3 linked regions of the Danio rerio genome follow. The protein of the gene in region 2 purifies or fractionates together with the protein of the main gene of each other region. This does not show direct contact. Links are inferred from orthologs where the notes say so. Each region holds a gene or a part of one and is shown on either strand. Other genes may lie near its edges.

Region 1 (4,268 bases), on a different chromosome or scaffold from region 2:
ACAAAAGCTAACATGTATTCTAATATCATATATAAATCATATAAATAAATAAATGAGGCTATTTATTATAAAATGATATGTAATATTAAATAGAAATGAAAAAAAATCATACTTTAATAATAATATTAATGATGATTATGATTATTATTTAGTAGGATATTGTTTATTTATTTATTTTTTTTTAAGTCTACATTTACAATTTGACACGTGTAAACCACTGCAGAAAATTCTAACAAGCAGGCCCATGTCATATACAGTACAGATACTTAAATAATAAATAACCTACTATAAATTAAAAGAATTAACAAATGCTGTTTGTTTTTTACAAGCTTTGGAGACTTAACATAAATTCCACTTTTAAATAATAGGTCACCTATAGCTTTCATCATGAGGCTGTGTTCCAAATGACATCAATGTTTTCAAAGTGCACTGCGAAGAGAGTACAAGTGTAAACATGAAGATTGCTAAAACTGAACTGTAAAAATAGTTCAAAAGAAAAATTACACCCAAGAGTGATGACCTTAATGCTTTATTTTTAATAATTCCAACTTTAAATGTTAGATTGTTCTAAATGAATAGGGCATAGGGGGGATATGCGGGAATAGAACACAGCCAGGAACTGTTTCTATACAGCTCCAGAGGTGTGGTTGCGAGCGCTCAATTTTGCGAATGTTCGTTGGAGTGACGGATTTGGGAAACAGCAAATCAACAAACTATGTTTGTAACAACGGAAGTTGCGACCTTAATGGCTAACGATGGTTTTGGGAAACGCACCCTTGAACAGTAATAAAACTAAATATTATTGGGGTTTTTTTTTTTTTTTTTAAAGGGCCGGGGATACTCCATGTCCCACCCTCACTTCATGTTTCGGGGAAAAATCTGACATTTGCGATATGAATATAATTTTGCTAGATGATGTAAATAGCTCTATTCAGGAAGATTTCACGAGTTTAGATTGACTGGGGTGATCAAGTCTTTTTATATGCAGAAATCAGCAAAAAAATGTAATAAATGCAAGCATATATAAATATGACAGAGCAAAAATACGAGTGAAATAAACAGTGCCATATGGTTTTCTGGGAATTCTATCAGTATTCGAATACACAAACTGAACAATCAAACATAAAATAACATGGTCATCATTATATAATATCATCATATCATCTTTATCTTTTATTCTTTAACAAATAATCCTGTGGTATCCACAATAGTCACACATTGCGATATCGATGCTCAAACAATATATTGTTCAGCCCTTAAATAAATATTTAATATAATTTCCAATAAATAATTTCACTCTTAAGGGGGAACACGGTGGCTTAGTGGTTAGCACTGTCGCCTCACAGCAAGAAGGTCTCTGGTTCGAGTCCAGGCTTTGCCAGTTGGCATTTCTGTGTGGAGTTTGCATGTTCTCCCTATGTTGGTGTAGGTTTCCTCCGGGTGCCCACAGTTCAAAGACATGCACTATAGATGACTTGAATAAACTTACATGTCCATAGTGTGTGTGTGTGAATGAGTATTTCCCAATACTGGGTTGCAGCTGGAAAGGCATGCGCTGTGTAAACACATGCCCTACTAAAAAAACTGCTTAAACCAGCCTAGGCTGATTGGCTGGTTATAGCTGGTCAACCAGGCTGGTTTTAGAGGGGTTTTGGCCACTTCCAGGCTGGTTTCCAGCCAGGTCTTAGCTGGTCTGGCTGGGAGATGACCAGCTAAAAGCAGCTTGACCAACCTAGCCAAAACCAGCTTTGTCCATCTTAAACCAGGCTGGTCATGCTGATTTTAGCTGGTCATTTTCCAACTTGACAGGCTAAGAAGTGGCCAAAACCCCTCTAAAACCAGGCTGGTCAACCAGCTAAAACCAGCTCAGGCTGGTTTAAGCTGGGTTTTTTTCAGTAGGGGGATAAATTGGCGGTTCATTCCGCTGTTAAACAAAAAAGGGACTAAGCCGAAGGAAAATGAATGACTGAACTTTCACTATTAAACTTACCTATTAAATTTTAGCATGGTCTCCAGAGGGACCCATCCGTCGTCTAACTGCAGCTGCTCCTTCAGAAACTTGTCTCTTGGGAGATTATGGTCACCAAAATAATACTGAACACACAGAAATATGGACAATCATATCATTCATCTGAATTGGCGATGGGAAATCAGCATATTTTACATGATTATCATCATCTCACCTCAATCTGCTCCGCCACCTTCTTCTCCAGGGGAGACATTTCCTGATTGTCAGCCATCTTTGCTAGAATCACAACAAACTAAACATAATTAATTAATCAATTAATTAAAAAAAGGAAGTGCAGAAATGCAAGAATACAAACGGTCTCTGCTTTGAATTATTTTAAAAACGCACATCACACAAGCCATAGTATTCAAACAGAGACTGAATGCTCTGTAATATAAACTCTGTATGAACTTCTGAACCCGGAGCGAGTTTGATTTCCAAACCACGTGTGAGTACAGCAGATCTGTGCACTTTCTATTTTAGCATCCACACTTCACTGTTTAAACTCAAATGTCCAGAAATAAAGAGCGTTAAAAATAACATGCCTGCACGCTACAAATTGAGTCAAAAAAATAGTATAAATGTTGGGATAATACTCGTTTATGGAGCATGTACGCGCCACATGTCGCAGAATGACACTGAAAAAACGTCGCGCGCTCGCTCTGTCACTGTTTTCTCACTGTCCGACCTGAAATTTCAAAACATAGTAAACTCCAAAAAAGAAGTAGTGCTACAAAAATCACCATACTTACTTTATTTGCGCTCTGTTTTTGTCTGATAGCGATGAAACGCCACACTCAACGCCGAGTGAACGTGAAGTGAGGTATGCCGTCGTGGAGTTATGACATCATTTAGACCGAGTTGAGAACTATGGGAAATGTAGTTGAATCAGGACATCCACAATTTTTCAAACGGTTTCATCCTATTTCGATCAAAAATGTATGCTATTATTAAACTACATGCTAAATTAAAAGTATTTTGTATGTTTTGAATCATCAATTGCTTATTAATGAGTGAATGTGAGTGAAAATCATATAAAGATTTGAATGTGGTAGCCCACTAATGCATTTGGTCAGGACTTTTTTTTTAATAAAAAAAAAAAAAAATAGAATAAAAGACTTATGAAAACTGAGAATGGTATATATGATGTTATTATATTGACAAAACAAAAGTCTTGTAAATGTTAAAAACAGGAAACACATTTCCCTTTTTAAAATGGTTTTGACACTGATATATATATATATATATATATATATATATATATATATATATATATATATATATATATATATATATATATATATATATATATATATAAGAAATGTGTAACTTTTTTAAATGATCATTTCTTTTTTAGAAAAGTTTAACAATGTGAACAAATTAATTTGAGTGTCAATGGAATTTTTGACTTTATATTTAATACAGTTGGACAAAATATTATAATATTTAAAAAAAAGACTTAATATAATGATGAAGGTGAATGTGCATTTTCATTCACCCATGTAACATCACTTTATTTTAAATAATTTGTTTGAATATTTCAAAAATACTTAGTTTAAATAGATATTTTATTAAACTACTTTACCCAACCCTTTGAGTTAAGTATTATCATTTACTAATAATTCACATATTACAAGTAATGTTTTTCTTATAGCTCAAGAGGTTTGAGAGGCCAGGGATAGTTCACCCAAAGATTAGTTTGTGCTCTATTTTATCCGATAGCAATGAAACAGCTCACTCAACACCATGTGAACGTGAAGTGAGGTCTGCCGTCGCGTAGTTATGACATCATTCAAAGACTGAGTGGAGGATTCTGGGAAATGAAGTTTTATCACGACATTCACAATTTTTCAAACTGTTTCATCATAATCGGATCAAAGATGTATGCTATTTTCGCATTAGAGAGTTAGAACGTGACGACTGAATATTAAACTAAAAGCATTTTGTATGTTTTGAATCATCGATTGCTTAATAATGAGTGAATGTGAGTGAAAATCATATAAAGATTTGAATGTGGTAGCCCACTAATGCATTTGGCCAGGAATTATAAAAATTGAGAATCGTATATATGATGGAATTATTGACAAAATAAAAGTCTAAAAAGTGTTAAAAACAGAGAAAACACAACATTTCTCCTTTTAAATTCAGTTTTGACATTAATATATATATATATATATATATATATATATATATATATATATATATATATATATATATATATATATATATATATATATATAGATATATATATATATATATA
Region 2 (3,979 bases):
AAACTAAACGTGCAGGCTTTATAAATCGTTGCACTCATATAAAAAATATAGAGAGTTTATAAAGTAAATGACTACCTTGACGTGCGTTCTTCATTGCATTTGGGCCGTTTTATGTCCCCAAGCAGAGCAGAGATTTACAGGCAAAACATAAACGCTGTGGTGTCGCTCCTCGTTTCCACTAAAAAATAGAAACGGTGTTAACTCACTAAATTTAAATAGCATCTAACATTTCATTTGTTTGACTGAAACAACAAAGCCAGACAGTTTTAACCGTGTGCATGCAATTTCAATGGAATACTTACTTTCAAAAAGCTGCACTCGTGTGTCAGTGTGCCATCTTATAAAGACAAATTAATGCAAATAATGCATAAACTTGTGGTTAATCATTTGTTTGAGCTAGAGTTAGTGAATGCACATTATTAAACCGTATAAGTGACATTTTCGTTTGTTTTGTTTGAGTAAATCAAACAACAAATATCATATTAGAATTGCAACCCAAATGGTAAACAAAATCAAAACCAGAAGCAATTTCAAATATCCAAATTTCAAAAATTTATTCATTTCAAACTGCATTGGAAAAAAAACTCATCTTGTAACTGTTATAATGATGTTATTAGTTAAAATATATACATGGAGCGTTGGCAACTGCGTACAGGCCACATTTTACAACTACGAAAAATGAAAGTTTTAAAATAAAAACTTAAAATATCACAGAAAATGTACAGAAAATTTACAAACCATGAGAAAATAAAGAACACAAACTTCATATATCTAACAGATGAAGAGTGGGAGACCGAAAATAATCAAGTGGAAATTAAAAAAAGCTGGAGAGTGCCTCTGTTCGTTCTCTCATTTAGAACTTAATAATAATAATAATAATAATAATAATAATAATAATAATAATAATAATAATGATTTATTACTATGTACCTTCAGTGAGAAACTCTTTAAATCCAGTTTTCATGTCAGCCTTTGCAAAACTTTGACGTAAACATCAGTTGTGCATCAATTTCTTGCACAATTTTTTATAATTTTTTTAAAACTTTCTGCTGTTTACAAACATTACATCTCGTTGTTGTTATTACGCTTCTTTTTTTAGATAAATACTGTACAAAAAGTCGATTGCAATAATAAAACATTTGATTCATTCTCCCCCCGCTTGTCAACCATGTCCAAATCTCATACACCTTTTGGAAACAAAACAGAACTGAAAAATCTAAATTAAAAAAATAATAAAATAAATCAGAAGAGAACAAAACAAAAACTGTGTGGAGTTCCTACCGTTCCTCTTTTTTTTAGTTTGTTTGTTTGTTTGTTTGTTTGTTTTTTAAATAGAAAGCAAAAGTTTTGTGTTCTTTCCTTGAGCTCTATACAACTTTTTCCCTCCCCAAAAGAAGTGTTCTGTACAAAAATAGTCCAGCAGTGTAGTAAAAAGAGTTCATTTTACATATGCGATAAGGGAATCGTGCCGTTAATCGTCGTACCGGGCACAGGTGCGCTCTGGTAATGTTGGGACATGTGCAGTCTGCTCTGAGCGCTCTGGTCCTGCACCTCCGCCCCGGGCAGGTACATACTGATCATGTCCCGCAGGTCCCCCGTTTGGCACTGTCCGGCCCGGGAATGAGACGACGACGTGACCACCGGCGGACTCGAACTAGACTCGGACTTGACCACCGAGCCCATGGAGCCCAGCGTCATTCCCGGCGTGCTTTGCTGCGAATAGGACATGCTGTAGGTGGGCGAGCCGTTCATGTAGGTCTGCGAGTTGGTCATGGAGTTGTACTGGAGCGCGCTCATGTCGTAGCGGTGCATGGGCTGCATCTGCGCCGTGTTGTGCGCGTTCAAACTCGGGTGCTGCGGGTAACCCAGCTGCTCCTGCATCATGCCGTAGCCTCCGTTGGTCCAGCCGTTCATATGCGCGTAGCTGTCCATCCTCTGGTTGACCCCGGCGCCCAAACCGGCCCCTACACCCACGCCGGCGCCCATGCCGTTGCCGCCCGGCGCCAGGAGCCCGCCCGGCAGGGTGTACTTGTCCTTCTTCATCAGGGTCTTGGTTTTCCTCCGGGGTCTGTATTTGTAATCCGGGTGTTCCTTCATGTGCAGAGCCCGAAGGCGTTTGGCTTCGTCGATGAATGGTCGCTTCTCGCTCTCGGACAGAAGTTTCCACTCGGCCCCGAGTCGCTTACTTATTTCCGAATTGTGCATTTTGGGGTTCTCCTGTGCCATTTTCCGCCGCTGTCCCCTCGACCACACCATGAAGGCGTTCATGGGTCTCTTGATGCGGTCCGGGCTGTTTTTCTGGTTGTTTCCCGAGGAGTTGGTGTTCCCCGTGCCCCCGGTGTTGGGCTGGGGCGCCGGGGGCTTCAGCTCGGTTTCCATCATGTTATACATTTAAACCGATTTTCTCGAAAGTCTACCCCACCAGCCGTAAAAATAAAAAATAAAGAAGTCCAAAAAGTGTGTGGAGAGGCTGCTGAAGTTACCTTAGCAGTTGGAGGTAACTTTGCTGGGAAAAGAAGCGCTCTTAGGTCCTGTTGTGCCCACAAACTTCTTTTCTTAGTCTTGAAGAATCAACACAAACTCGGTTTCCCTCCTCGCCAGAGCCCTTGTCAACTCCTGATACTTTTTGAACAAGTTAATAGACAACCATTCATAGAGCGACTGTCAGCGAATATAAATGGGTTTGTCGCTGACCAATCAGAGCGCGTCTGCTCCCTCGGTTTGCATAAAGGGGCGGGGTTACGGACGGTCAGCAGTGCAGCGCAGAGCCACAGGCAGTGGCTGTGAGTGTGTGTGTGTGTGTGTGTGTTTATGAGAGAGCTAAAGTGAGAATATTTCACACAAACCATTTTCCAATCAAACTCTGTATGATCTTAAGATTCTAAATAAACATTTAAAGTTTTATTATTAGTATTATTATTATTATTATTATTATTATTATTATTATTATTACTATTATTATTTATCGCTTTGTTTTTAGTGTAAGTTTGCGTATTCAACACATCAGTTAAACTCTTAAAGCACTGAAAATAAAATAAAGATTTTTTTAAGTTAAAACGGCAAGCTCATAATATTAAAAACTTCCAAAATAATGCGTGAATAAGCCGAATAAAATATAGCTATTTATTATTTAGTTCGCATTTAAAAATGAGCAGCGGCTTGTTTTATTAACGAATACAATAAAGTAAACGCAGGCGCACGAATTTAAAAGGTGTCATTTTAAAAACACTCGTTCTTGAGACATTATCCCAACTAACATGCCTGTATTTATGCCACTACACTTCAACCGGCTCAAGCTGAATGTGAATTAGAAAATGGAGGCCCGTCAATCATCACAAATAGGTAGTTTTGTTTCGGCTGTTGTCATTACATCACTCTGAACAAAAGCACGACAAAAGCCGACTACACTGACCATCTGAGTTGTAAGGATTTGTGTTATTAGGATTCACTCCATGAAGAGTGACAGGGGGAGAGGGTTTATTCAGCACAGCCTCCTTCAAAATAACAAGAGCACGGGCGCTTTGATTAAATCCAATTATTTGTATAATAACTAAAAACACAAGGAGCTATTTTTTGCCCAACACATCTATTCTCCGAGAATTACGATTAAAAGCTGATCATTCTTCCTGCAGAAGTTGACTTTACTCGACAAGAGTGGAACTAATATACAAACAGGCTTAATGTCAGGAGGAAAAAATGCCTATTTTATATTTTTCTTTTCCACGAAAGCATGTTTTATGTTTCAACAGCGTCCTCTTGCGGTCACACTGATACAAACTCGTGCTCCCTCAACATTTTCCACATGCACGCAGTTATTTTGGATTGCTTTATAAATAAGTTTTAGTCGCTGTACTTTTTATATAATTAGCGGGAGATAAAAAATAATAATTACACAAAACAAACAACATAAATTCCAACAATAATACTTATTTTTTTAGGGTTGCATGCATGAATAAATAAACACTCTCTCAGCGTCGTT
Region 3 (4,012 bases), on a different chromosome or scaffold from region 2:
GATCAATGTTTAAAAGAGTGTGACATACAATGAAGCTCTGGGTCCAGTTTGCGCAGATTGGGTGGGACAGTGGTGATGAGGATTTTTACTGTGGCATCGGCAGAGCTGATCTCAAATCCAGTCTCGTTTGTCAGCATGGACAACACTGGGGAGAAGAGGAAAATGCATCAGTGAGAATGGCAAGCAAGTCGGATTTTTTTTCCCTCCCTGAAACTACAGGTCTGCCAGATTAAAGCCTATACTCACCCTCAGAAGGGTCCTGGGTTCGCAGGGTCTCAACAACTTTGTTTCCCAAGGCGGCAACAGCTTCCACTGAACAAGAACACGTAAACATTACTGATAAACCAAGTACACTTGGGCTAGGAGCAACATGTTGGCCTCATAGAAATCTCAAGACTTACAGGTGGGCAGAATCTTCAGGATAACCACAAGGTCAGCAACATTGTGTCCTGCAGTCATGGTGCCCTTTTTATAGGAGCCCACTTGTCTTACTTCCTCAATTTGCTGAAAAAGGGATTATCAAACTTTCATTAAATAAGTCTAAAAACATATACATAAAATATTTTGAAAGGCATTAATAATAATAATAATAATGTTTTACTGAAATATCTTACCACTTCAAAGTTTCCAGGTGCCACAATTAGGTTATCAATGACGTTGTTAATTTTGGTGACCAAGGACAAAATGGAAGCCTGTGACAAAAATGAAGAAAAAATTTGCTGTAATTTGTTAATAATGCAATCAAAAATTGGTTTGCTTTTGCACTCCTAATACAATATCACATTTTATGCATCTATTCTAGGTCAAAACCAAATGTGTAACAGCTCACAATCTTTAAAAATTAATAGAGGATGTTGAGACCTTATCGGATATATATAATATATATATATATATATATATATATATATATATATATATATATATATATATATATATATATATATATATATATATAGGGCTGATTCCAGCGTTATGGATGTGACATTTGCAGTAAAAATTCAAAACATAAATTTGCAGAGAAAGTATATTTTAACATTATATTGAATCATCCGTTTATATTTTCCAAAACAACTAACCACAGAGTTCTGGGATCAAAAAAATTCAATCTGTGAACATTTTTATACTTTAAATGAGGAAAATAAACAAGTGTTATGGATGTGACAAAAAAAGTCTGCGAGTTTACAGTATACAACTTATTTCGTTAAAAAAAATCTGTGAATTAAACTGCACAACCTAAAATAAATAATTCTCAACAAAAGGATAAGAGTTGGCTCTTTATAGAACAAAACTGATTTATTTTATTTTATTTTGACATTTTTGCATTTTTGAGGGAAAATCTTTGCTATGGATGTGACACTTTTTCGTTATGGATGTGACGGATGTGAAATTGCCATTTGTTTGACTTTGGTAAATCAAATAAATTAGTTTGAAAACATTGACAGAGACATTTTTAAGTATTTTTAAAGTACTGTAAAACACTTGCCTGCGCAAAAAATGTAGGAACGGTTTCGCTATTTTGGTGAAAAACATTTTTCTTTTCATGGCAAGGTTGACATTTTCATGGAATTGCTCATATATATATATATATATATATATATATATATATATATATATATATTACAATTCCATAATTTACTCCCACTCAAGGGGTACTAAACGTTAACGAATTTCTTCTGTTAAACACAAAACAAGATATTCTTAAGAATATGGGAAACCAGCATTTTTTGGTGTGTTCAACCAAATTAAGAAATTCAAACAGGCTTGGAACAAGTTGAACGAGTGTAAATGTCAACGACATTCATTTTTGGGTGAACTATCCCTTTAGCATGAAAGGGCAGAAGTCATGGAGTGTGCAGTTTTCATAATAGTTTATGACCATACCTGTTCAGAGGGGGTTGGACTGAGGTCTTGGTTCCTCTTCAACAGACATTCACTGAAAGCAGTCTCATCAGAGGCCGGCTTCACTCGAGGAAAGGCCATCTCACACTGTACAAAAGCAAGTTGTCATGAGCTCTGGGCTTAAAAAGGCTGTTTTTCCTCCCCACAAATCAGAAAAGCAATAAATGTACTTACAACATAGAAGTCAAATGGTATGTGAGGGACAAAGGGCCGATACCTGAGACAAGAGAAGTCACAGGTTACAAAATTATTACAATATAACCAAATTTAAGTAAGGGGGTCAAAACAATATGGTCATGAAATCTTACCCTTGGACCAAACCTCCGCGGGAGCCGAACCGGCCACCTCGGCCCCTGCCACGATCTCCTCTGAGAAATAAAAACGTAATTTCAGCAAGTGCAATACAAATAAATAAATAATGATGTCCAGCGATAACCCAAAATTGGATTTTTTAAAGTTTAATTTAAAACCCAAATAAAAAAATAAATATCACAAATTAGATAGCAGTATTGTTCGAATAAAAGCACGGCGTTCATTCATTCATAAACGCTCTCGGTTTTTTTTTCAGGAACACATCGTTTTGCAAATAACACAATATGTATAGAAAATCCAGAATTATGACTATAACCGGAAAAACTTTACTAATAAAAGTGTTTATTTAGTTACTGTATTGATTAAAAACCGACAAAGGGGCTAGCAGAACATGCTAACATGTTAGCTTAGCATCTTTGAAAAAAATGTATAAAATATCACAACATACAGTATTTTGCTATAATTCGGTTTATAACCTAATCAAAAAGATTGTTTAACTATAAATGATAAATCAGTTCGTACCTCATTGCGTAAGACGTTTTGTCAGTTTAACAGGACACACGCTGGTGAGAAGAGCTCTGCCTCCGCCTGCAGATAGCCGCCGAGTAGCTAGCTTCAGAAAACGGAAGTAACTTCATAAATCCAGCATAACCACCTAGAATAAAAGCCCGAAATAGCAGCCCACACAATAGTAAAAGTCTCAGTTGAATTAAGGTTTTTCGAGTTTATTTAGGGAGGAAATAACAGTAGCAGAAAGAGAAACTATCTAACATTCAGCTTTATTGTCTTTAAGTCAACTATGAAATTATTTAAAATACTATTTTTATGCATTACAATGTATGGATGACAACTACTCGCTTTTAAAACATTCTATTGTTTGGATAAGCTCAAACAAGTAGCATATAGCATACATAAAATTTTGTAAGGATTAAATCACAACATTCTAGATAGATTACCATAGTTTACTATGTTACTTTGAATGTTCGATCTGAATTAGCATGCAAGCATGACTTCTAAACAACATTATTAGTATCTAATTCACTGTGAACCATGTTGTACTTTGATAGTCATTTGCTGCTAATATGATTTCCCTATTTGGAATTTGCAAAGAATACTTTCTGAAATTATATTATTAATGAGAATATCTGAATTTCCGTATATAAAACCAACTTAACCTCTATCTAGACTGCTGCTGTCACATGGTTATACTTTGCTGAAGATAGCTATAGTTTTGTAAAGATTAGAAATATACAAACACAGATAATTTACTTCATTTGAAATAAATAATACACAAACAAACAAGCACATCACTAACAGGTCCACATTGTTCGACCCTAGCTATGGAACCCTATTAGAAATTTAAATAAACAAGAGAAGACAGTTTGGTCTGTATTATTTCACCCTTTTATGTCTTATATATTTAAAACCTTTAGGGATTAAAACAACAACAACAAATATTATTTCCATAAATAATCACTTCAAATGCATCTTGCAGGGGAGACTTGACATGTCAGGGGTGGACCTGTACAGTCCTCACACTGCCTTTATCAGAGAACACCAGACAGAAGTTGTGTTACATTCCACAGCCAATCAAACGCAGGAAATCCAAAGCTGTGCAGTTTTGCGCAAATTACGTAGATGTAATGCATGTGCTGAAGTAAGATAAGGGTTGTTTTTTAAATGTTCAGTCACCTCCACTGTTATTACAGCAATATGCCTCCATCATCACAACACATCCATCTACAGAACTAAATGCAGTGATAAGACAGAAGGTAAGAATATTTGTAATAATCTAATATGA

Evidence for each region. Proteins that work in one complex are often made in the same cells at the same time.
Region 1: the proteins of sox2 (region 2) and ssb purify together in Homo sapiens (affinity purification with mass spectrometry; 3 studies listed by BioGRID and IntAct, with this or other methods). This does not show direct contact. The link is inferred for Danio rerio from reciprocal best matches to the Homo sapiens genes SOX2 and SSB.
Region 3: the proteins of sox2 (region 2) and ilf2 purify together in Homo sapiens (affinity purification with mass spectrometry; 3 studies listed by BioGRID and IntAct, with this or other methods). This does not show direct contact. The link is inferred for Danio rerio from reciprocal best matches to the Homo sapiens genes SOX2 and ILF2.

The regions. Positions count from the first base shown.
Region 1 is NC_133181.1:4,429,536-4,433,803, reverse strand, and holds the start of ssb (lupus La protein), read right to left. Parts: upstream 2,829-4,268; 5' UTR 2,761-2,828; exon of another isoform or gene 2,357-2,760; intron 2,262-2,356; coding exon of another isoform or gene 2,241-2,261; coding exon 2,184-2,240; intron 2,095-2,183; coding exon 1,991-2,094; intron 1-1,990. UniProt on the Homo sapiens protein: Binds to the 3' poly(U) terminus of nascent RNA polymerase III transcripts, protecting them from exonuclease digestion and facilitating their folding and maturation.
Region 2 is NC_133197.1:39,474,693-39,478,671, forward strand, and holds sox2 (transcription factor Sox-2), read right to left. Parts: upstream 2,615-3,979; 5' UTR 2,392-2,614; coding exon 1,444-2,391; 3' UTR 529-1,443; downstream 1-528. UniProt on the Homo sapiens protein: Transcription factor that forms a trimeric complex with OCT4 on DNA and controls the expression of a number of genes involved in embryonic development such as YES1, FGF4, UTF1 and ZFP206. Binds to the proximal enhancer region of NANOG.
Region 3 is NC_133194.1:40,099,837-40,103,848, forward strand, and holds the start of ilf2 (interleukin enhancer-binding factor 2 homolog), read right to left. Parts: upstream 2,829-4,012; 5' UTR 2,739-2,828; coding exon 2,734-2,738; intron 2,268-2,733; coding exon 2,208-2,267; intron 2,117-2,207; coding exon 2,074-2,116; intron 1,987-2,073; coding exon 1,882-1,986; intron 693-1,881; coding exon 615-692; intron 505-614; coding exon 402-504; intron 313-401; coding exon 247-312; intron 146-246; coding exon 29-145; intron 1-28. UniProt on the Homo sapiens protein: Chromatin-interacting protein that forms a stable heterodimer with interleukin enhancer-binding factor 3/ILF3 and plays a role in several biological processes including transcription, innate immunity or cell growth.